3 linked regions of the Arabidopsis thaliana genome follow. The protein of the gene in region 3 purifies or fractionates together with the protein of the main gene of each other region. This does not show direct contact. Each region holds a gene or a part of one and is shown on either strand. Other genes may lie near its edges.

Region 1 (7,440 bases), on a different chromosome or scaffold from region 3:
TGCGACGAGATGTGGTTGTAGAGGATGTGCAACCATACAATAGACCTAAAAAATGGAAATTAATAAGTACCTGATGAGGGTTACTACCAATGTATGGAAGCCATGAAAGCGAAAGAAGTACAGAAGCAATGCTATTATAATTATGCAATAAAGAAACTAGCAATCTTTGAAAATCATCAACTGGCGGTTTCAAGTAGAAAATGAACCCCGAATATTATCTGCAAATTCTGAAAAAGGAATAACTTTCAACTTTCGGGTGCAGCATGTGCTTTCCCTATCACCATCTGACATAAAGATTACGTATCTTCTCCATTGCAATTTTCTTTTAGATAAATTTAGTGTTCAAACAGCTATCAATTTAAAGTCTGCTATATACAAAACTTTTCTGCAAGAAGTAATACAAACAGTTGTATTCTATTCTTATTCTTATTCCTAGTCTACTTGAGTCAGAATACCTTTGCATTGCCAAGTGCAATATTATACAGCTACACAACTTCATCATTTGAACCATAATAGATGCATTTTACGAGATAAGAAGAGAAACTAATGTTTTGTGGGACACATAGAATGGAGCCTCAGAGAGCAATGCTCATGCTCAGGCTTGAGCATGAGCTATTGATATAGTATACAACTAGCAGGCAGAAAGAAATGATATGATACGTGGTAGATTTCGAGGATTTCATCAACAATGAGCTAATTACCCTAAGTTTTCTGTGGGTTGCAAGTACTTGAGGCGGAACCAAGGAAGAAAGTTCACATAACGGCCTTGTCAGGGCCGAATAAGTTGGATGCTCAATAGACCTGCAAAAATTCAAACAATTAGACCACTCATCTAATATACATAAATATATTCTACCATATACAATACCAAATCTTAAACAAAGATACCATATGTGTGAATCTTTAACGCAAGTCAAAATATCAAGGTTTGGCGCTCGAGGGTGACACCAAGATGCAACACTGTGGCAAGCTAGTTTCGGGACAGGTTTAATTCTACGTAGCTCCTGTAGAATAAAAGTAGATATGCATGTTAATAAATGAGATCGGGAAAATATGAAAAATCCATACATGAGATACACCATTACCTTAAATGTCATTGTATCCCATATGGCCAATGTCTTGTCAGCCCCAATTGTAATCAATTGTGGAGCACTCCCACTTACCCTTGACAGCTCAACAGCCACCACCCCACCATCATGTGCCTAATACAATCAGAACAAAAACATTAGAAGAAGCCAAGAAGGGATTAGGAAAAAAAAAAAAAAAAAGTATAACAGAGAAGTGGAAATTATCCACTCAATTAAGCAAACATGACCATGTCTATTACACCAAAAAAAAAAAAAAAGCACGAGCATGTCATAGTCCCCTAATCATTACTCAGCCTTTTATAAAAAGAATGAAAGAATATCTAAATGCAAGTATCCAACATTCAGAAACAGACACAGAAATCAATTCAGAAGGTTCACTGGAACTAAGAACAATGGTGCCTTAGCCTCAGCTGTAACCAAATCTGGCAAATCTTTCCAGGCCTAAGAATTGAACGGTCATGGTAATATCCTCTCTTGAACTTTGAATGAAAGAGTGGGCATAATTGAGTACCTTTAAGCTAAGCTTGGGTACAAGTTCCCTTGAGTCAGCGCCATGATCGGCACTCCACAGTACAAGTAAGCCATCACTGCCACCTGAAACAAGGAGTGCCTGCAATTGCATTTAGATAGAGGATGGCTAGTATCATGTATTGCACATAAATAACAGAGAGAAAATACTTGATAAGCATTCATTAAAAAACGTCAAGTTATATAAAAGGGAAGAAAGCCCAGTACTATCAGAAATTCGCTATTAACATAACCTAAACAAGCAATTGGGAAAAGAGATGCCAATGTTTAAAATTCCCGCCGCTCCTAATGCCTAGGCTATGCATGAAATTTAACCCGAGTACAGATGATCTAAGAAACTAAGGCTAGATATTTGGATTGTAAAACAGGTATCCGTATAGTAAGGCCTGCTGCGGTCTGGACTCCCACTTAGTAGAATGTGAGATTTTTACGTCGCTAAGAAGAAAGAGATATATGTAGGAAACTTCCAAGACGATATGCTCAAGACCTCGTTTTCATATAATATATACAGTCGATCTTAGTAGGTGATCTTGAGTATGTTTTTCTAAGTTACATGACACTTTCATCTATCAGATGGTATTAACTATTAACATATTAAGTAAATAACTCGAAATAAATTCAGAGCAATAAAGAGGGCATATATAGGGAATATGTAGTTACTTCGCCAGATGATGCCATGAAATTCATCAAGCAATAAATGGATCCTTTATGGCCACCTGTATATCGACGTGCAAGCTGCAAGGAAGTAAACATTCAAGGAAATTAACACAGATCAGTATCAAAATCCCTCACTCTAAACCCAGCAGAGAAACCAAAAAAAAAAAATATAATTTTGAAACAAACAAACCTTCCATGTTATCATTGATAAAACCCGAATGACACCATCAGTTGAACCAAATGCAACTAAAGGGCCATCACCACCAGATGATCTCGAAAGAAACTCCATGCTGCAAAGAAAGGAAGAATTCTAGCAACATTAAGGAGGAGTAGAAATTAAAAATGTAGAAAGGGAGTTTGGCCATTGACTGAACATTAAACATCAAGGAAGCCTGGTATCCATTACACTTAGAACACACATATCCATTACACTTATGCCTAGTCTACATTTGACTCAAATATTTCCAGCGTAGTAACTAACGGAGGTCTTTCCAGGATTCAAGTGATTTAAAGATAGGAAGCCTAAAGTAATGGAGCATCTTCCCCGGGGTCCAGGTGTCAAGCAAACCCATATCCTAAAATTAGAGAAAAAGCAATGAACTTACCAGAGAAGTGACTTGTTATCAAGCTCTTGCTTTGGCACATCACGACCACGCATTGTCACCAAATCCAAGAAAATAGCTTTATTCTCACAACAAATGACCAGAAAATGACGGCCTTTAGTCGATGGAGCAGGGGAAGTGAAAGCAGATGTCAGATGATTGACAGCTGATGGAGATTCAGCAGCTGCGGAGCGGTTGCGCCACAGTTGCCAATAACGCACATCATCGTCATAAAACTTCACCTGCTTAACGCTAGTAGGTGCAAACATTGAGCAGATAAGTCATTTTTCTCATTATCGAAAGGAGCAACTGAATTAGCAGCGAGAAAGATCTATCTACTACCTTCCTCCTCGAATGGCTTCAGTAGGCTTAGCTTTATAGTCTGAGGAAAATACGAATGTCAGTAAGAACATAAAGCATCAGAAACTCATACTCATTTCACCAGAATAGAACAATGGCTCACCGGATTCTCCTTCGGCGAGCTTCTCTAACTTGGCACCAACTAAACGGCGCTCGTCAACTCCGCCGGCTTTCAATTCATAAATTACCTAACACAATAGACATAAACGTTGACAGATCCACGATTCGAAATCAGAACCGGAACCAAAATCAAATCAGAATCTCGATACAGACCTGACGATGCTCCCAATTCCAGACGGAGACGTGATCTGAATCATCAGCCGTAACAAGCCATGGATGCGTAGGATGTACCTGTATCTTCACAATCTTACCATTGGTCTGCCGAAATGCTCTCGCCCGCAACATTTCGATCTCTCTCTCTCTCTCTCACAGTTCTTCAAGATCAATTAGACAACTCAAAAATCTGAGCACAACTGCATCCGCATAGACGATTCGACTCACGAGAAACTCTCCAGAGCTACACACTAAAAATTTCCAGAAAAAGCAAGCAGGGCTATGGTCAGATCCAGATCAATTAGATCCACCGCGGTTATCAAATGAAATGCCCGGATCCACCACCACTAACTACAATCGCCGAACAAAAACTCCGGTAGTGTCTTCAGACGCGAAACGCGTAAAGCGCGAATTTGCGAAGGCTAGTCTGATTAACCCAAAAAAAAAGGCCCAATAACAATTGTTTTAGCCCTTTCCTTTGTCGCAAAATATATTCCATTTACGGAAATTAATTGTGGATCCGTTGGATCACTGAACTTTTTTTTTTCTTGTTCATAAGTTTCTTTTTTATTCAAATTATGGGTTTACAAACATCACTAAAGCCCAGTCATCAAAGTATTTCACAAATCCATAAAGGGTACAACTAAACACCTTGTAGTAAAGAGTACAGCGCTAATAAAACAAGTCAAAGCAACATACGACACGTGGATGTGACTTTTCTCTTACGCCGATGATTGTTTCATCGTTATCTCCCAGCACCACCATCAAATCCGATAACCCACCATTTCCTCTACGACAATCTCATCACGCTTGTAAATCTGACTCTCTGCTCCACAATATCCAGAGTTTATATTTGATCTAAATTTCTCCAGAACAGCAACGATCTATGACAAAAGAGAAATAAAAAACCATGATTTCTCTTGATGATTAAATCTTACCAGATATGCCGAATTGAGATTCTAAATCAAAGGATTGAGAGAATCGATTTAGGTTGAAACAAACTCTAATAGTTGATTAAAACCCAAAAGGTAAAGATTAGAAATGAAACAAAGATTGACTTTCATCTAAATAAGGATGCAAAAAAGCTTGAGAAAAGAGGATGATAAGGAAAACCCAAAAAAAAATTGGTACTAAGATCACAATGATTATTGAAAAGCAGAAAGGTAAAACCGGTATCAAAGAACTGGAAACTAAAGCCGGATTCCACTAAAGAGAAAAGTAGAAACCAGACGGCGAGATAAGACGGCAAAGCCGGACCACGTCCGGATACAAAAGCCAGCCACCACCACTAAAGAAGCCAATTGATGCTGGAAACGAACCAACCATCGTCGTTAAAGAAGCCGAACGATGTTGGACGGAGTCTTGCCATGAATCGCTTTTTCTTTCTCTGAAAAATTCAAGTGAGAGAAGAGAGAGAAAATCGAGAAGCCTCCGATCACTAAACTTTTAAAGAGAATTCCAAATGAATTATCTCAAACAAAATGACTATAGTATTTGGTGTAATAAGGGTTTACTATGTTTACAACTAAATCTAGAATTCGATAAAAAGATTTGCAATCAAAATTAAAGTCTTATTTAATCTTCAATTTAATTTAATTTTTTCTTTACAGGTTTCATTGAAGTTTACTCAATACACTTCGATTTTTTGTTTTTCCCGTCTAAACTTGTTTTCCTCATACACTTATAGAAGATCTTAACTTAATAAAGAACAATAAAATCAACGCCGCTTGTCTTCTTCAATGCGAGTGTAACCACATCGGACTTCCACGAGCTAAATATGATCTGCATCGACCTTCTCTCATTACGCTTGTGGCTATATCTCGTGCGATGAAACCTTAAATACGATCTTATCAAAATTCGGGAGAAACCAATGAATCCTATCAAGATAAGATAAATACGTGGCCAATCTAATGGGTCACTAATGGCTTCCATAGGAGCACCATAGTCGGACCAAATCTCAATATTATAGAAGTGTAGATCACATAGACTGTGTAGTACCCATAATATCCCTCTCAACTCCGCAGCAATACGATTTGATGTTGGTAAAAACATTTCTCCCGCATGAAAAACAGCATCACCATGATGATGCCACATATATGAGCATCATGATGATGCCTGACAATCCATGTACAATACACTTCGATTTATTACGCTTTTTTTTTAAAAAAAATTTTATAGCCAAAACATGTCAGACCATATATTCTAAAACTAGTTTCATAAAGCCACTTTTGTACACAAAGAAAATTAAAGAATTACTGTATTCTTATGTACGCAAGTCTCCGGTTTAAGTGATGTTACTTCGACTTAAAACAAATCGACTGTGCCAGCTCCGGCTTTTCCCAGTTTCAATAGTCGATAACAACACACTCAACAAGTCCTCTGCTTCTTCCTCCGATGGAAACTCTAAGTTAGTCTGAAGAAGCGGCTGTGCTGAAGGATTGTTCCATCGTTTTTTGGTCGGGCTGCTCTTCTTTTGCTGGTCCTGTCTCCAGTTCCATACACCATCTGAATTGCTTCCTATGATGCGGACTACTCCACCGCTGCAATCTGTATGTATTACACTCTCCAAACCGATTTCTCTTTCGATATTCCATACCAAATCTATTGGAACTCCGAGAAATCCCTGTTTTCTGAAATCTACCAAGCTCAGGCTGCTTAGAACCAATACCAGTCTCCCTGTGATTACAACGAAAGCTCCTTCTTGTTTCAGGGCTTTGCACTTCACCAGCTTCTCGCCCTTGAACTTCAGGGAATCTCCAACCTCCATAAGTACTGCTGTCCCGACCGCTTCTTCCCATGAGTAAGGCCTGAGAGGTTGTTCTCTACTCAGAGGCCTCGGAAGACGAAGCCTATGCCTTTGGGATCTTATGTTATGAATCCTGCTTCGGTTTCTTATACTCTGTGCGGTTTTTCCAGTTACCTCAAGGATACTAGCGGTTGGTCTGGCCACAAGTCCAGTAATCCCCATGGCCACTCCTGAACCATATATAGGCACCCAGTTAACATGCATAAAATTAGAAAGCCAGAAACAAAAGGACAGCGTGTACACGAACATCAAATGTCTTGAATGTCTATAGATGACTTGAGCGGTGGTTCTCGCTTAAATACCTGAGATAACGCCTGGAAGACCATGTTTCTCAGCTCCTCTTATTGGTGATTGAAGGAGACCAGTGAGTCCCTGTGATGAACATCGTGTCAGCTGGCATGCTTAAATTCTTTATGCAAGTTCAGAAGAATTTGACAGAAGTCACTGACTTCAAGTAACTTTCAAGACTAAGTGAACATCAAATCAGTATATAAGACATACTTCCAAAGAAAGTGCAAATAACATACCTCAAACACTTCACCTATAACTCCTTTGCTACGCGATCCTTCACCCAATTGCTGCTTCTCCATCCTTGCAACATCATGGTCATTGAATGTAAATGCAACAATACCCTGCAACGAATTGGTAATTCTGTAAATATTTCTTGAAGGAGGCGTCTACACCATAGATTTTTAAGCAAACAGATGCATCGTACCTTGTGTGCAGCTTTACTAAATTGAGTGGCAGCATCACTTAAAGCATAAATAGTGCTACTGAAGAGACTTGTGGTTCCGTGAGCCATTCCTTGAATAATTCCTGCTGGGCTCTGTTCAAGTAATCTAGGTTAGCATATAAGTTAAAAGTGACTAAACCAGACATTACATGAAAATGTTAAGCAACAAAAAGAGATTTTAATCATAACCTTTGAGATACTCCTGCTGGGAGCTGACAGGAAATCTTTAATTCCAAATGCAACATTCCTCGCAAACCCCATGGGATTTCCAATAACACCAGCAGAGCCGAAAACCTGTGTTATAGTACATTGCAGAAATACGTCCAGCAGGTATATAGGGAATAGTATGAGTGCTCTAGGAAATAAAAACACTAAGTGAAAAAGTGACATTTT
Region 2 (7,329 bases), on a different chromosome or scaffold from region 3:
ATGGTGATATGTTTATTGTAGAAGGTTTGGAAGCAATTAAAACTTTTAATAATTTTAATGCATAAGTTATCCAGTCTTAAAGAGGCTAATAACCCAAACACCTAATCTCATCTACTAAAATACTGAAAATACAGTGGCTACTATTGTTTTGCATATAAACAAGACGGATAAAACTATGGATTATTATTGAAGAGTGAAGACACATGATTCTCGAGTCAAGACATTATTGAATAATGAATACTTAAAAATGTTTTCAGACATCTTGCTCCAACTGACCTTCGTGTATAGCATGTACTCGCCATTTTATGTAATATAGTGATTGTTATAATAGGTGTAAAACCAAACAAATAATTGGTCCTTTTTGTGTAGTGATAAATAGAGCTGTCATATATTAGGTATGGCCGGTTGGGGTTGAGAATTCATCCCTTAGCTTGCAATATAATACGTTCTTATATGTCAATGAACACTCAAATTATATGTTTTATTAATCAAATGTGAAGTGTTAAAGACTTAAAGTTGACGATTTGGTAGGCCAAGTTGATCAATATCTCTTTTTTCATCATCTCTTTAGAGGTTTGTGTTTAGGATCCCACAGCTTCTGCTTACTTTTTGAGTAATTTACAAGCAATTGCTATTAATCAACTAGTTTATTATATTAAATCTGGACAACTAGACATGTCACTCTACAAATAAGAGACAAATATGTAAATTATTATTGATATTTTAATTTTGTAACCCGTAGTTAGGAATGGATTGTACTTGGTGCTTAATACCCACATGACATTATCATTTTAAATAAAGAAATGTCATAGTGGATAATTGACCTAAGAATGACATGTTCTATGGATTTAATTCGGCGCGCTGGTATGATGTGAGATTAGTATTTTTCGTAATTGTTAATATACTCAGCTGATTTTTTTTAATGCATCATGTAATTGACAGGAGCAAGATCTATATGACTATATGTTAAGAATCATGTGGAATCAATCCCACTTTTTAAAATAAACATGATGTATAGTAAAGCTACACAAAATGTGTTGTATACTAGGGAGATGAGATCATACTAAAACCATAGTGTAAATCTTTAATGGGGTTAAGGCCTTATTCGAGGGAGATGATACTAGAACCATAGTGGTTATTGTTAATGTCACTAAAAAATAGGTCATTGCATGCACTATTTTACATCAAAAAAAATTGCGACAACTTGCAAACGGGCACTAGATTATGACACTATATCAACCTTAGTACTCAAGACTATATTACATGTTCTGATCAATCAAAACATCTATACTTTTTACTGTCTTAAGTTTGTTATGTATAATGTAATATGATATTTAGAGATCAACAATTTCAAAATGTTTGTGATTGTCTTTACATAATAATAGCCTTTGTACTTCAACAACCACCACAATTATTTTGATACTTTCATCACAACAATTAGGAGAATCTTCCACTTTACCATTTTGCAAAGTATATTTGATAAACTTAAATTTTGTAATCCGCATTTCAATAATATAAAAATGTAAAAGCAAATCGAGTAAAACAGATAACATAACAATGAAGAGAGGTCAAGATACACAAGTACACAAAACCTTACATGACACATACCAAAAAAAAGAATAACTCTCAACAAAGGCCAAACTCAAGAACATTAGAGAAAATTATAAACAATGTAAATCTTTTAGAGAGAAACTTTTATCAATTGCACATATAGACTCCGGTTTCGTACCTGTGATCTACCTCAAAGAAATCTGTATTTCCCTCAGCAGCTGCACGTAGACTGATACCAGACAGAGAAGTATTTCCCTGTACCGAGAATTTCACATAGCAGATGATATCTGGTTCTTCCTCGCTGTTATCTGAATCGATAGGCATCCGTGCTCTTAGTCTCCCGGGACTTCCATTCAGAGGAATCTCCGGAATTTGCCATTTCAGTTCTCGATCGGTTCTGTTCAGTATTGCTTTAGGCGAAACCTTAAGCAATGTGGGATCAACCGGGAGTTTTAGGATAAAGTCGACGTTTTTCAGAGGCTGAGGTAGATCCGGATTTGAGACGTATTGTATCATAAGTGAGAGTAAAGTCCCGCTGATTCGTTTCACCATTCGGACTCTAAGAGGCAACGGGGTTAGTTTAGGTTGCAAGCTATATTTAAGGATAGGGATTGGTTCTTCTGATGGAGCAGTTCTCACGTGAAACAAACCGTTCCCTAAGCTACTGATCCGAGAACTCTGCATAGCAAATCTCTTAACTGCAGTAGTACCCTCAACACGGAATGAGAACTCAGTTTCTTTCTCTTCACCAGAGCCTTTGGGTGGCATCGTTTTCAGATAGATCACACCCATTACTCCTACTCTAGCAAGCAAGGATTCTCTAAACTCGGTTCTAATTTCCTCAGAGATATACATTTCAGGACCTTTCATCTCAGGCTTCTTAACTAGGTTATCGATATTAACTCCATCTTTGCCTTCCACTGCTTTCGGATCACTGGTGTGCAACAGCTCAAGCCCACCGAGTCCTTCCTTCTTCTGAATCTTCTTTGGTCCCATAAACTCTGAAGGATCCAACCCACCTCCCCAAGCATCACTAAACGATTCAAAAGTTTCTCCAATCGTAGCCTGTTCATTGCTGAACTCAATCCCACCATACTGCCCTTCGAATCCTTCCACATTGATGTGCGTAGACTGTGTTGCCTCGGCTGGAGGTAATGTCGTCACTTCAAGTCCAGCCAATGCCAAAGTCAAATCCGTTGAGGACGGATCCTTAGTCTTCTTGAATCCACCCACAAGTTCTTTCTCCTTGTTAATCGTTTCACTAGCCGCAAAAGGATCCTTATTCTCCGGCTCTGGTTCTTCCTTCAATTGCTCTGATTCAGGCACCACTGGAGCCAAGCTCGCCGCGAACTCATCTCCAGCGGCAACAGTCTCCGGAGGCAATTCAAATCTTGCATTAGAAAATGCGTTTACAGAAGCTTGATGCTCTGCCGCATGCGATTCAACAGCCATCCAACTATCAGCTCCTCGGATCTTATTCTCAGTATCAAGAGCCGAATGAACCATCTTCGCAATCCCATCTCCGTGCATAGCACCAAGCATCGCCGCAAGACGGATATTACTAACACCACGCAAAACAATATCAAGCGCCATATAAACCTCAGCATACTTCCGTCCAAGCTTCTCCGGAGTAACTTCAACTCCACGACAAGCAGTAACAATAACACTAACAGCTTGATTCACAATATGAATACACTCAAATACATTGATCGAATTATCATGATCCGCGACAGTAACACCAAGGATATAGATCGAGTTCACTAATCTATAAACTACACGATACTTGCTCTCAACACCAACAATAACCTGTCCATTAGAAGCAGCGAGTGGATCATCACCTACAAACTCCGCCGCCGTGGCATCGTCAGGATCCGCAACGGAGGAAGAAGAAGAAGAAGAAGAAGAAGCTTGATTCTGTTTCTGATTCGATTGTTGCTGATGCTGCTGCTTCGAGGACGCTAATGCTTGACGCATTTGACGAAAATACGAGAGAGCGATTAAGGCTCTTGCTGGTGGAAACCATTCTCTAGTTTGGAGCAAAATGTCGGATCCATTTGCTGGTTGCAGAGCTAGGGCTAAACACGACATGATCCCGATTCGAAATTGATCTCGAAGCTTCTACTAATGGTGACTATTCAATCTCAATGGTTAGATTGAAACATCTGATGAAGAAATCGATCAGATCTGAGAACTGAGAAGAATCGTCGGAGAAGAAAAGGAGAAAGAGAAATGAGATCTTCGTTGTTTCTTTCGAAAACGACGTCGTTTGTTTCATTACTCGTATCCTACCTGCATGGACCTAATGCGATGGTTTGAAAATAAGCCCAATAGTAGACGTTTATTCTTAACTTATTGGGCCTAATGTCAAGGTAAGAAGCCCAATAATATGATAAAACGATGTCGTTTAACGCGATTAGGTCTTTTTAAATTTTGTAGCGCTTATAACTTTTGCGATTTTTTTTTAATTGGTAGCTTTTGGCGGTGAAATGCAAAATGGGAAAATTAAGCCGGAGAATCTCCTCCGACGATCGCCGACGAATCGTAAACTAACCACAGGCTGTGAAATCCTCGACGGATGTCTTCGCGGCGGAATTTCCTGCGATTCTTTAACCGAAATCGTTGCGGAGAGTGGCTGCGGAAAGACACAGCTCTGCCTTCAGCTTTCGCTCTGTACCCAACTTCCGATTTCACACGGCGGACTCAACGGTTCTTCTCTTTATCTCCATTCAGAGTTCCCATTTCCGTTTCGTCGTCTCCATCAGCTCTCGCACACGTTTCATCAATCAAACCCTAGTATTTACGCGAATTACAATGATAATCCTTGTGATCATGTGTTTGTACAAAATGTCCATTCTGTAGACCACCTGTTCGACATAATGCCTAGGATAGATGGGTTTGTTGGGAATTCGAAAACTAGGTTTCCGTTGAAGTTGATTGTGCTTGATTCTGTAGCGGCATTGTTTAGATCGGAGTTTGATAATACTCCGTCTGATCTTAAGAAGAGATCTTCTTTGTTTTTCAAGATATCTGGGAAATTGAAGCAGTTGGCTAGCAAGTTTGATTTGGCTATTGTGATTACGAATCAGGTTACGGATTTGGTTGAAACTTCTGATGGGTTAAGTGGGCTGAGGATTGGGAATTTGAGGTATTTGTATTCGTCTGGAAGACGAGTTGTTCCTTCTTTAGGCTTGGCTTGGGCTAATTGTGTGAATTCCAGATTTTTTATTTCACGAAGTGATGGTAGTATTGTTAAAGATAGAAGTGAAAAGGACGAGAATTGTTCAAGTTCTGTGTCCAGAAGTGCTAAGAGACGGCTTGACATAGTGTTTTCACCTTATTTGCCTGGGAGTTCTTGCGAGTTCATGATCACACGAGAGGGGATTTGTGCGGTTCAAGCGTAGGTGAACTCGGGTGCTATGTAGGATAGTTTTTGTTCGAAGCATCACCGGATTTTTTGGAGTATTTGTTCATTAGCCATTATTTATGTACATTGCAGAAGGATCCGGAGATGGGTTGCAGCAAAGCCAGGTTTATTTTTTCGGATTCCTCCTCTTGGTTAGATGTGATATGTGCTTGTTTTTAGTTTATAAGCATTCTATGTTCAATTATTCATAATAAAGCTTTTTAAAAGATTCCTGTTAGCTCCTAAGTCTACTGCAAGCTTCTCACTTTGTTCTCTGATTCTCTTTTCTTTGCATCATTGAATTTGCACGAAGTCGAAAATTTCCCACTTGGTTGCTATCTTCAAATCGTTTCATTTGTTGAGTAAATTGCTGATGTGATCTTTATATCTGGCCGTAATATCTTTATGAATAGGTAGTGTTGATCATCCTGGTGGATATGGTTTTTGTATTTATTTTCACTTGAACTCTGTAGCTAATTTCTCGATTCTAACCAGAAAATGACTGAAACCACAAAATATGATGATGCATGCCTTCATAAGTGCCATAAGTAATTAATCTAGTTAACATACTTCATTGTCCTATTGGTAAGCAAATGGAGTTAAAACAGATTACTTGTAGCTAAAAGATCTTTAACACTTCGATTGTTTTCTATTTTTCCGTGGTTATTCAGTGGCAGAGGAATCAACTGCAGTTCGAGAGGATCAATTCAGCCTCTGATGTATACAAGAATGAGAGATTCCGCCTAAGGCTGTTGCTAAAAACAACCATTGAATCATCTGAAGGACACGACGGAGCTCTACAAGAGGAAAAATTTTTTGGCCGTTGTTGGTCTTTGGATTAACAAAAGCTCTGTATACGAATCTTCACTTTTATTTTGTATAGAAGAAGACTAAACATATTTAGTTCCAATGTATAAGTTTCAACATCTCTTATTAGCACTCTTCACTATGAGCAAAACTTCTACTCTCTATGTGAACCGGCCCATTTACAAGATACGGCCCATGAACCTTTTGTTATACGTCATAGTGACATCACTCTCCAGCGTAAAAACTAACTTCCGACTGAAACTGGATTCGGTTCGTCGTTATCGGTATCGAATCAACAATGTCGAATCCTGCAGCCGTCACCGCCGGCAGAGGATCAATCACTCACGTCATATTCGACATGGACGGTCTTCTTCTCGGTAATCTCCTTGCATCTGATCTTCAATCTCCAGCTTTATTAGATCGTACTACTGTCACTATCGTTGTTTAGATTTGATGGTTTTTTTAGTAGTGACTGTTTAGTTTCCAGGATTGATTTCATACAATTGATGTTAAGATGCTAAAGCAATTAGCTTGAATCTGATCGGAAATCGAGCGATTGAGTTTTTGTTCTGTGTATTCAAAATCTCACAACTTCATTGGCTTATCTGCTCTTGCTGCATACATTCATGCTGATTTGGTTTCTGTTGCAGATACTGAGAAGTTTTACACTGAGGTCCAAGAGATTATACTTGCTAGGTTCAATAAAAAGTTTGATTGGTCTCTCAAGGCTAAAATGATGGGTAGAAAAGCAATAGAAGCTGCCAGGATCTTTGTTGAAGAAAGCGGGATTAGCGACTCTCTTTCAGCTGAGGACTTTCTTGTCGAGAGAGAGTCAATGTTGCAAGACCTTTTCCCTACTAGTGAGCTCATGCCAGGTAGATTCTGCTTTTTGTAACACATGACATTTGGTTCACAGGAAGATTACATGTACGGATATTTATGTTTTTGATGTGGTCATGAACCAATTCTCTTCCACATTTTCAGGGGCTAGTAGACTCATTAAGCATCTCCATGTAAAGAATATTCCAATATGTATTGCTACCGGGTAATCTCTTCACCTCATCTCATAATATACCATTTAGTTTGCATTCTCATTGTCCTTTACAATCCAGAAACTGACTTGTTATGTTTGATTGTACGCTTGCAGTACTCACACACGGCATTATGATCTGAAAACCCAAAGACACAGAGAGCTTTTCTCATTGATGCATCACGTAGTTCGTGGTGATGATCCAGAGGTGAAGCAAGGAAAGCCTGCTCCTGACGGGTTTCTCGCTGCTGCTAGGAGATTTAAGGTAACTAACAGGCAACAGTCTCCAAGATTCTCCATTACTAACTAGTTCATATTTAAAATGAGTTGTAGACTAATGTTTCCTCTTCGTCTGGATTCCTTAGGACGGTCCTGTGGATTCACAAAAGGTTCTGGTGTTTGAAGATGCTCCATCTGGAGTTCTTGCTGCTAAAAACGCCGGAATGTAAGTGGGTTTCTCTTCATGTAAAAGCCAATAAAAACCGAGAAACAAGTTTATACATCTTGATGTCTATCTACAGGAACGTGGTTATGGTAC
Region 3 (9,770 bases):
GAGGACAAGTTTATGTACGTATATACTACTTGGTATATATCATCAATCAAAAAATCGAAACTAGCAAATCAAGAATACCTTTCTTCTTTTGCAATTCCAGTTCTTCCTTCTCACGTTGCAGTGTCTCTGGGTCTCGTTTCTCATTCTGATCTCACAAATATAATTTTGAAAGTCAAAGAGGGAGGGCTAACCAGATATAACAGCTCACACCTCCACAAACACAGCTAACCTGATTAAGAGTTATCTCTTGAGCCTTCAAGATTATATCCGCAAATCGATTTTTCAATAGAGCAGCCCTGTAACGCTTTTCTGGAGGTAGTTCCTTCTCTTTTGGAGCACTATTTCCTAAATTATTAATGGGTCAAGAGTGAGATGCCACCCTCAGATATTAGAGCACAGATATTTTTCTGCTACACTTCTGAGCTTACCATCTTGATGACCATCTGCCCCCTCAATAAGACTTAGCTTCCCTCTGGATGCATCTTCCATCTGATTCAATCCACCGACGGAATCTGCTTTTAGAAAGGGAATAAGAAAACCAAGGTTTATTAATTAATATCAACAAAACTTAACATCTTTTGCACCAAAAGAGGAGTAATCACTGATTAGAGATAATATGATCACTATAGAAAATAGCAAACAGCGACCTGGGAGTAAAACAAGCAGAAAATGTAACAGGTCTATCACTATCATACTAGGTGTGTAATATGAGTTGCTATCAGTAAGGTCAGTAAGTTTCACTCCAAAAAAACTACAGAAGTAACATTGAGTATTCTAGATGGACGGCCACTTCTGACAAGAGGGAAGTAAAATGGTTCCGAGGGTTAAGTACATATAAGAATTGCAAACATCAAACGTCTGCAAAAGCTCCATAGAGAAAAAGACAAATACAATGTAGCAAGATTAAACAAACCACTGTAGTTCTCTAACGCCATACCTTTTTCTGTTCTGACAGTTGAGATGTGAGATATAGGGTGCTCATAATTACCAATGTCAACATCCTCGTCCTCCAATTCACTCCCTGCAAGTAACGAGGAGGAAATGACAGCTTAATCATAGAGTAGGACATGCGAATTAGCTCAAACAACAAAACCAGTGTATGCTAACCATCACAGTGTTGCGTCAATGAATTTCCTGGCCCTGACCCATGTAAAAGCTACATCAAGAAAGTTTTCGCTGTTTATCAGTCATGTTAACAAATGGATCAAGAATGAGATATAGAAAGGTGATTACCTCTAACACACAGGGTTCACCGTTTGAATCTTTCTTTTGATTTTCTCGCAGAAACTCATCAAAGAGATCCCGCAACTGGAACAAGGCATCATGACTGAGATCATTGATGTCAATCTCTATCTCATCATCTCCAGATCTCTCTTCCTTGGAGCTGTGATCTCTCAGGAAATTTATTATCTGTACAGGGAATTCTGTCAAGGACCCCAAATCTCTGCCAAGCTTTACTCTATCCTCATCTGTCATAACCCGCTTAGCAGGCTCTAAGAGGCTGTTACGTTTCACAGCATTCATCTTTCTCTTCTTAGCCACAGGCTCAGGTATCGCAATATCTTTGTGAGCAAGAGTAGCCAAGTTACTTGGTTCAGATTTGGTTCCGGATGACTTCTTCTCGATAGTTTTCCATCTCACTTCAAAAAACTTGCTGAGAGTATCAGCGAAGCGATACACATTATTATCTGACGGGTTATAAGTCATAGCATTGCGGAAAGTAAGACGGACATCAGCAGAAAACTCTGAAGGGCTTGAATACGTGCCGGAAGTTAACTTGCTTTTAACAGTTCCTAAATCCATAGGATGTTTGATAATGGTGAAATAATCAGGAATGTTGAGCTTGACGACGTCCACAGGGGTATTAAAGAGCCAACAATGCTGCTGCGACATCAATCGTTTAAGGAGGCTCTCACATTGCTTCATCCGAAGCATAGTGGAAGTGGTGACTGGCTCTGGTTTGGTTGCTGTGAAGGGGAGCACCCTTTTTCCAGGGCCAGTAGAGCATCGTGACATTCCAAAACTCTTGGGGCGAGACACATTACTTGCAGGTGTACTAGTAACAATCTTAGATATAGGAAGAAGGTCCCCAACACTCTTCTGAAAGGACCGTAGTTGTTCCAGCTCCTGACGAAGCGTATGAATCCACTTTCTCCTTTCTGATGATGACAAGTCAGACAAGGGTAAAACTATTCTCGGGACACCAAAAGTTTCATCATCCTTGGAAGCATTGGGGCTATCATCACAGCCGCCGGGAGAGTCAAAACTGTTACGATTATAATCTCCTGGGAAACCACCGTTCCTCACAGTCATGATATCGCCCACCGAAGTGCGAACCTGCACAAATCAAAATATTTAAGTCAGTTTTGAGAAACCCTAACTATGAAAACCTGAAAGCAATTCAATTCTTAGAGCCCTATAGTATTGCTGGAGGAGAGCAGTGAACACTCAATATGCATAAAAAAGGAAATTCGGAACTAACCAACTCGAAACACTTAGCAAGCGATCGAACCGGAGCAGAAGTAAGAGAACCGAGGAACAAGCGTAAATCTTCTCCAGCAGAAACAGATTAACGCTAGAGATTGGTGTAGAAGATGATGATGAAGAAGAAGATAGAGTAAAACCCTAGAGTGGAGACGAAGAAGACGACCGAGAAGTAGAGAGAGAACAAAATCGCTCTCTGCCCTCCCTTCTCTAGTGTCCCGTCCCTAACGAATGCTGCGTCTAACGCCGTTTTGCTACTGGGCAGGACTCAATCTGGACCGTCGGATCTGATCCCTCGAATTAAAATCGAATGCAAATACTTCGGTGCATAAAAATAATATCCTGGGCTTATAATGTAAAGCCCAATGAACTTTTTAATGTGCCTTTATTGGGTCTACGGATGACTCAACACGGCACGCTGTGAAAGCTCGAATCGCAGGAACGGCACGCGCTTTTTTCCTTCGAAAACAATTTCTTCTCCTTCTTCTTCAATTGATGGTTTGATTTACACATCCTTCTTCTTCCAGTTCCATGTCGCATACGTACACAGATTGACAGCGAAGCTAGTTAGCTCAGATTTTGGATCTCGAATTTCAGTTAATTCGATCCGGTTATGGACATTCTTTTTGCTCAGATCCAGGCGGACCTCCGTTCAAATGACGCGCTTCGCCAGTCATCGGCGCTTCTTCAGGCGCTGCAGCAATCCGCCGCCGGAAGAGATATCTCTGTGATCGCTAAGTCTGCTGTGGAGGAGATTGTTGCTTCTCCGGCTTCAGCTGTTTGTAAGAAGCTGGCATTCGATCTCATCCGATCTACCCGCCTCACTCCGGATCTTTGGGACACCGTTTGCTCAGGTGTCAAAACGGATCTTCATTTTCCGGACCCGGATGTTACCGCCGCTGCCGTCTCCATCCTTGCGGCTCTCCCTGCCTTCTCGCTTCCTAAACTCATCTCTGATTGCAGCTCTGAGATTGCTTCCTGCTTCGATTCTCCATCTGACAACCTTCGTTTTTCCATCACCGAGACACTTGGCTGCATCCTCGCGCGTGATGATCTCGTTACTTTGTGCGAGAACAATGTGGGTCTCCTCGACAAGGTCTCCAACTGGTGGGCTCGGATCGGCCAGAACATGCTCGACAAATCCGACGCCGTCTCCAAGGTTGCCTTTGAGTCCGTCGGCAGACTCTTCCAGGAGTTCGACTCCAAGCGGATGAGCCGTCTTGCTGGCGATAAGCTCGTTGACAGCGAGAACTCCCTCGCCATCAGGTCCAAGTGGGTCTCTTCCATGGTTGACATTGTATGGAGAAAGAGGAGCGCTTTGATGGCTAGGTCTTTAGTCCTTCCTGTCGAAACCTTCAGAGCCACTGTTTTCCCTCTTGTCTTTGCTGTCAAAGCTGTTGCTTCCGGTAGTGTCGAAGTGATTAGACAGCTTTCCAAGGCTTCCTCTGCTGCTGCTGCAGCTAATGCCACCGTTGTGGACTCCAACGCCGAGAAGCTGGTTGGCGTCTCAGATTTGGTTACCCATTTGGCGCCATTCTTGGCTTCCTCTTTGGATCCAGCTTTGATTTTTGAAGTGGGAATTAACATGCTCTACCTGGCAGATGTTGCCGGAGGCAAGCCAGAGTGGGCTTCACAGTCCATTATTGCAATTTTAACACTCTGGGACCGCCAAGAATTTTCCTCTGCTAGAGAGAGTATAGTCAGGGCCGTTGTTACGAACCTGCACTTGCTTGATCTGCATATGCAGGTATGTCGTTTTTTACTTCATTTAAGCTCGGTTAGTTGTGTACCTTTGTCTTGAAGCTGTGGCCTATGATTTCTGAATCATTCTTTTTGGAATTTGTTACGAAGGTTTCGTTGTTTAGAAGACTGCTGCTTATGGTGAGAAACTTGAGAGCAGAATCGGACAGGATGCACGCATTAGCCTGTATCTGTCGGACAGCTCTCTGTGTTCACCTTTTTGCCAGAGAAAGTGCCCGAAGAGGTCAGAAGCCTCTGCCTGGGACAGATATTATTTCTCTCTTTGAAGATGCAAGGATTAAAGATGATCTCAATAGTGTTACCAGTAAGAGCTTATTTCGGGAAGAGCTGGTGGCAATGCTTGTGGAAAGCTGCTTCCAGTTGTCTCTACCTTTGCCTGAACAAAAAAACTCGGGTATGGAGAGCAGAGTGATTGGTGCGTTAGCATATGGTACTGGTTATGGTGCTCTGAACTGGACAGAACCAGCCCTTGAGGTTGTGGAAGTTTGTAGGCCTTGTGTCAAATGGGATTGTGATGGCAGGACGTACGCTGTAGATTGCTATTTGAAATTGCTTGTTAGGCTGTGCCATATCTATGATACCCGTGGAGGAGTGAAGAGGCTGAAAGATGGTGCTTCCCAGGATCAAATATTAAATGAGACACGATTGCAGAACTTGCAACGTGAGCTTGTTAAGGATCTCCAAGAGGTAATTAAGCCTCAGCTGAAAGTTAGAAGTAACCCTTGGCAATTTTCCTCGAAGAATTTTAGTTAGGCTTTCTTAAGTACTATTTAATACTAAATGTGGAGGAGAACTATTGCTTGTGGACTGAAACGTGGTCAATGTCTTATAAAAATCTTGATCTCAATTTGGCAGGTAAATACCCCAAGAATCCTCGGGCGTCTTATATGGACAATCGCAGAACATATTGATCTAGAAGGTCTAGATCCACTTTTAGCTGATGACCCCGATGATCCATTGAATATTATCATAGCAAACATACATAAGGTTCTCTTCAACTTGGATGCCGCTGCTACTACATCGAATAGGCTACAAGATGTTCAGGCAGTCTTATTATGCGCCCAGAGGATGGGATCGCGTCATGCAAGAGCTGGCCAGTTATTAACCAAAGAGCTTGAAGAGTATAGGAACCATGCTGCTGCAGATACAGTTAGCAAACATCAAACCCGTTTAATATTGCAGAGGATCAAATATGTTTCAAATCTTCCTGAAAGAAAGTGAGCTTTCCCTTGGCTTGTAATCCTTTTATTATGTGAGTTTTACTGCATTTCTGGATTGGAACTCAGACAACCTATTATTTTCCAGGTGGGCTGGAGTTAGTGAGACAAGAGGAGATTACCCGTTTAGCCACCATAAGCTTACTGTTCAGTTTTACGAACCATCAGCTGCTCAAGACAGGAAATTAGAAGGTCTAATTCACAAGGCCATTCTCGAGCTTTGGAGGCCAAAGCCCACTGAATTAACTCTCTTCCTTACAAAAGGGGTCGACTCAACTTCTATCAAGGTTCCTCCCACAGCATATCCTTTGACCGGAAGCAGTGATCCTTGCTATATAGAAGCTTACCATTTAGCAGATACAAATGATGGAAGGGTCACTTTGCACTTGAAGGTTGGTATATATTCTACTGTATCATCCTGCAGTTACTTGAATACAGTTTTAGTGGATAAAGTTTTAGCGTCTCAACACCTTATACTTTATGTTACCTTTCAGATTATTAATTTGACAGAACTTGAACTGAATCGTGTGGATATACGGGTTGGATTATCTGGTGCCCTATACTTCATGGATGGCTCTCCTCAAGCAGTGCGGCAGTTGCGTAATCTTGTCTCACAGGTTGCATGTCATTCTTCAGTGCTTATATACTCCCATCTCTTTACAGTTCTCTAATTTCTTAAGTCTTGTCAGTTGGAAACCGTTTCTGTTCTTACCAATCAATCAGTTTCGTATATGTTAGCTGTATTATCATGGACTCTGTGATTTACTTTTGTAGGATCCTGTACAATGCAGTGTCACCGTTGGTGTGTCCCAATTTGAAAGATGTGGTTTCTGGGTTCAAGTCCTCTACTATCCATTCCGTGGTGCTAGGGGAGAATATGACGGTGACTACATAGAAGAGGATCCACAGATCATGAAGCAGAAGAGAGGTTCAAAAGCAGAACTCGGAGAGCCTGTGATCTTAAGATGTCAGCCTTACAAGATCCCACTGACTGAGCTTCTTCTACCGCACAAAATCTCACCAGTCGAGTTCTTTCGTTTGTGGCCTAGCTTGCCAGCTGTTGCAGAGTACACTGGCACATATATGTATGAAGGAAGCGGCTTCATGGCGACCGCCGCACAACAGTATGGGGCTTCACCATTTTTAAGCGGACTCAAATCATTATCCTCGAAGCCATTCCACAGAGTCTGTTCCCACATTATACGCACAGTTGCTGGCTTTCAGGTGAACTTGGTTCTGTTATTCTTCTTGTTCCTTAACTGGATTGATGGTCTGATAAACCCCTAACTTGATGTCACTACAGCTTTGTTACGCTGCAAAAACGTGGCATGGAGGTTTTGTGGGTATGATGATCTTTGGCGCTAGTGAAGTGAGCAGGAACATGGATCTGGGTGACGAGACTACCACCATGATGTGCAAGTTTGTGGTTAGAGCATCAGAAGCATCAATCACAAAGCAAATAGAGTCGGATATTCAGGGATGGTGTGATGATCTAACTGACGGGGGCGTTGAGTACATGCCAGAGGACGAAGTGAAGGCAACCGCGGCCGAGAAGCTGAAGATCTCTATGGAGAGGATAGCTTTGTTGAAGGCAGCTCAGCCGAAGAAGACTTCAAAGATAGAGGAGGAATCAGAAAACGAAGAAGAAGAAGAAGGAGAAGAAGAAGATGATGATGAAGAAGTAAAAGAGAAAAAGGAGAAAGAAGAGGGAAAGGACAAGGAAGAGAAGAAGAAAAAAGAGAAGGAAAAAGGAACATTTTCTAAGCTGACAGCAGAAGAAACAGAGCACATGGCGCTTCAGGCAGCAGTGCTCCAAGAATGGCACATCTTGTGCAAAGATAGAAAATATACCAAAGTTAACTAAGAGCGAGAGTACTTTTTTCTCAGATGAAGCTACAACAATCTTTGTTTTCTTTTGTTGTGTGTGGTTTCTTCGTAGGTTTAGATGTTTTGTATTGTTGTTGGTGAAGAAAAGAAACAAACCAAGGATGTTACTATTGCCCTTTTTTACGAATTCTTCCGTCTTATTCACAAATTTCACACGTTTATGGAACCAAGGATGCATTTACCCATTTTCCATCAGTAACATTCTGTAGTCATGCAGTGTTTGGCGTGAGATTGCTCTGTTTTTTGCAACGAAGAAAACTGAAAGATAACCAGAAACAGATCCATGTTTAAGGAAGATGGTTTTGGCTTCATTTGTGATACAGTGTTTGAGATCCAGAAACAGGTTTATTGTCTGAGAAACAAGAAAGCCTTAAAAGCTTATCCACGTCTGCATTATGAACTTTGCTTACAAATAAAAAGACAGTCACATCACTAGCTTTCCTCTGAAGTAATTCCTCTACGCAGGTACTTCAGAGAGGGTCCTCTTCTTTCCTTTCTTTACCTCTGTTCCCTCATTTTCTGCCTGCTCTGCCTTCTTCTGCGCACGGATCATTGCTCGCCTTGCGCGCGGTCGCATCTCTCTAACTCTACGAGGCGGCATCACAAATGGCTCAAGTGGCTTGTCCCCAAAAGGATGCTCACCGCCTTCAAATATCCTCAGCTTCCGATCCCTGTCCTATACCCACACAAAGCAACAAAACCTCAGCACATTCTTGTTTTAAGCAACACATCCTAAACTATGCGAGCAATTCATTTAGGAGCTGAGAAGCGAGAATGTATCAGTACAAACAAGCCACTATTCCCACCAAAGATAAAGGACAAATAACAAAATGGTAAAACCAAGAGTTCAGAACAATCTTCCTTCCAAACCTAAATGATTTTCAAAACAAGGGTATATCATCTCATTCGATAAGACCGATTTGTGAGGAGAGACAACCTTTCTAGACATAGGACACCAAGAATCTCATTCCACACAACTCATGATGGATATCAACAAGTAAGAGTAAAGCCAAGGTGTGGGGTAATATCTGTAGCCAGAAAGTCAGGGATCTAAAAGACTGAGGATTCAGGTGATTAGAAAATGTTTCAGTTTATAGTGTACTCACATCACGCAAATTGTTACTTGGAAGCATGCGCCAGACAGCCTTACGAATGACCTCTGTGGGATCTTTGGCCATCTGATCTTTCAGACTCCGTTCCTTCAGGTGTCCGATGTACCTACAAAGAGAGATTAAATAAAGTAGATGAAAATGGGAGATACTAAAAGATATGATAAAACACTTGTAGTAGCTGAAGATTCACAGGAGCATTAAAAGAAAGAGTGCAACTTGCCCAGTATGCCAACGGTAGAATTTGTCAGTGAGCTTTCTTCCTGTGAAGCCGATTTCCTTAGCATTGAGAACAATACAAATATCGCCATCGTCGCGGTTAGGACAATAAGTAGGCTTATCTTTGGCTTGAAGCACGGTTGATATCTGGGAAGCTAGTCTACCAAGAACCTAGAGTAGACAAGTTATATTCACAAATGAAATCCTAGCAATTCAATTCAGATTTAATACAAAGACACAACAAAGATAAGGCATCCTATCTAAAATCTGGAAATGTTTGCCACTGTAGTCATGTAACTAACCAAGCATAAGAAGAAGAAAGTGGTAGAAGAAAGAGAGAGTAGATTGGAAGAGAGGTAGAAGAAAGAAAACCTGGCCTCTGGCATCAAAAACACGCCAACGAAGACCGTCGAGATTGATACGCTTTATACCTGCCACAGCTTTCTGCACAAAGACATACTCAAGATCAGCAACAAAACATAATACAAAGAGTAGATTGGAAGTTTTTTTTTAATAATAGAAAGGGGTCCATTTTCGAATAAGTTTGTAGCATCTACTCAATTTCTAAATTGCATAGCATAGGTGTGACACTCTCTGACCGTAATGGAGAATAGATGCAATGGGAAGTGATCATTGTTCCAAATGATTTTAAGTAGAAAATGCATAACACGTAGAAGAAGACCTAAACGTGGGAATCGCTCACTGGTTGATAGTAATCTAAGGTGATTTGGCTAAAACTGATCAAAAAGCTGGAGATATGGAAGGAAGAAGTAATCATTTTATACCTTTAAGTTGCCCTTGAATGAGGCAGCAGCAGCAGCCTGAGTCGCCATCGTTCTTCAGCTGTTTGTTAGACAAAAAACAAAAAACAAAACTGAGAATGTGATTTCAGTTATACAGATTCGTATGGAGAAGTCTGCAACGAATTGACCAGAATCACCAGAGAGATGACTCACCGGTTACCGGAGACAGTGCCGGAAGTGACAGCGGCGGTGGAAATGGGAAGATCTAGGAGGGAGCTGTATAACAAAGGGTTTTAGAAGGCGGAGGGCTATTTTGGTATTTTCTCATTAAAAGAAAAGGAAATGACTTT

Evidence for each region.
Region 1: the proteins of TPLATE (region 3) and AT5G24710 fractionate together in Arabidopsis thaliana (co-fractionation; one large-scale study listed by BioGRID). This does not show direct contact.
Region 2: the proteins of TPLATE (region 3) and AT5G57460 fractionate together in Arabidopsis thaliana (co-fractionation; one large-scale study listed by BioGRID). This does not show direct contact.

The regions. Positions count from the first base shown.
Region 1 is NC_003076.8:8,464,281-8,471,720, forward strand, and holds the start of AT5G24710 (Transducin/WD40 repeat-like superfamily protein), read right to left. Parts: upstream 3,894-7,440; 5' UTR 3,641-3,893; coding exon 3,509-3,640; intron 3,424-3,508; coding exon 3,339-3,423; intron 3,258-3,338; coding exon 3,218-3,257; intron 3,128-3,217; coding exon 2,879-3,127; intron 2,564-2,878; coding exon 2,464-2,563; intron 2,352-2,463; coding exon 2,277-2,351; intron 1,699-2,276; coding exon 1,600-1,698; intron 1,203-1,599; coding exon 1,086-1,202; intron 1,005-1,085; coding exon 889-1,004; intron 802-888; coding exon 702-801; intron 46-701; coding exon 1-45. Other genes in the region: AT5G24740 (vacuolar protein sorting-associated protein, putative (DUF1162)), read right to left, coding at 5,793-6,484, 6,617-6,686, 6,842-6,946, 7,030-7,140, 7,237-7,440.
Region 2 is NC_003076.8:23,271,631-23,278,959, reverse strand, and holds AT5G57460 (muniscin carboxy-terminal mu-like domain protein), read right to left. Parts: upstream 3,851-7,329; 5' UTR 3,640-3,850; coding exon 1,699-3,639; 3' UTR 1,472-1,698; downstream 1-1,471. Other genes in the region: XRCC3 (homolog of X-ray repair cross complementing 3 (XRCC3)), read left to right, coding at 4,038-4,952; GS1 (Haloacid dehalogenase-like hydrolase (HAD) superfamily protein), read left to right, coding at 6,060-6,138, 6,412-6,636, 6,746-6,806, 6,909-7,056, 7,157-7,236, 7,313-7,329.
Region 3 is NC_003074.8:276,074-285,843, forward strand, and holds TPLATE (ARM repeat superfamily protein), read left to right. Parts: upstream 1-2,808; 5' UTR 2,809-3,097; coding exon 3,098-4,231; intron 4,232-4,335; coding exon 4,336-4,932; intron 4,933-5,100; coding exon 5,101-5,462; intron 5,463-5,550; coding exon 5,551-5,854; intron 5,855-5,956; coding exon 5,957-6,079; intron 6,080-6,236; coding exon 6,237-6,686; intron 6,687-6,765; coding exon 6,766-7,326; 3' UTR 7,327-7,578; downstream 7,579-9,770. Other genes in the region: BET10 (bromodomain and extraterminal domain protein 10), read right to left, coding at 79-145, 230-345, 429-512, 938-1,021, 1,108-1,156, 1,234-2,313; AT3G01790 (Ribosomal protein L13 family protein), read right to left, coding at 7,807-8,025, 8,456-8,567, 8,682-8,848, 9,050-9,121, 9,463-9,510. UniProt on the Arabidopsis thaliana protein: Functions in vesicle-trafficking events required for site-specific cell wall modifications during pollen germination and for anchoring of the cell plate to the mother wall at the correct cortical position.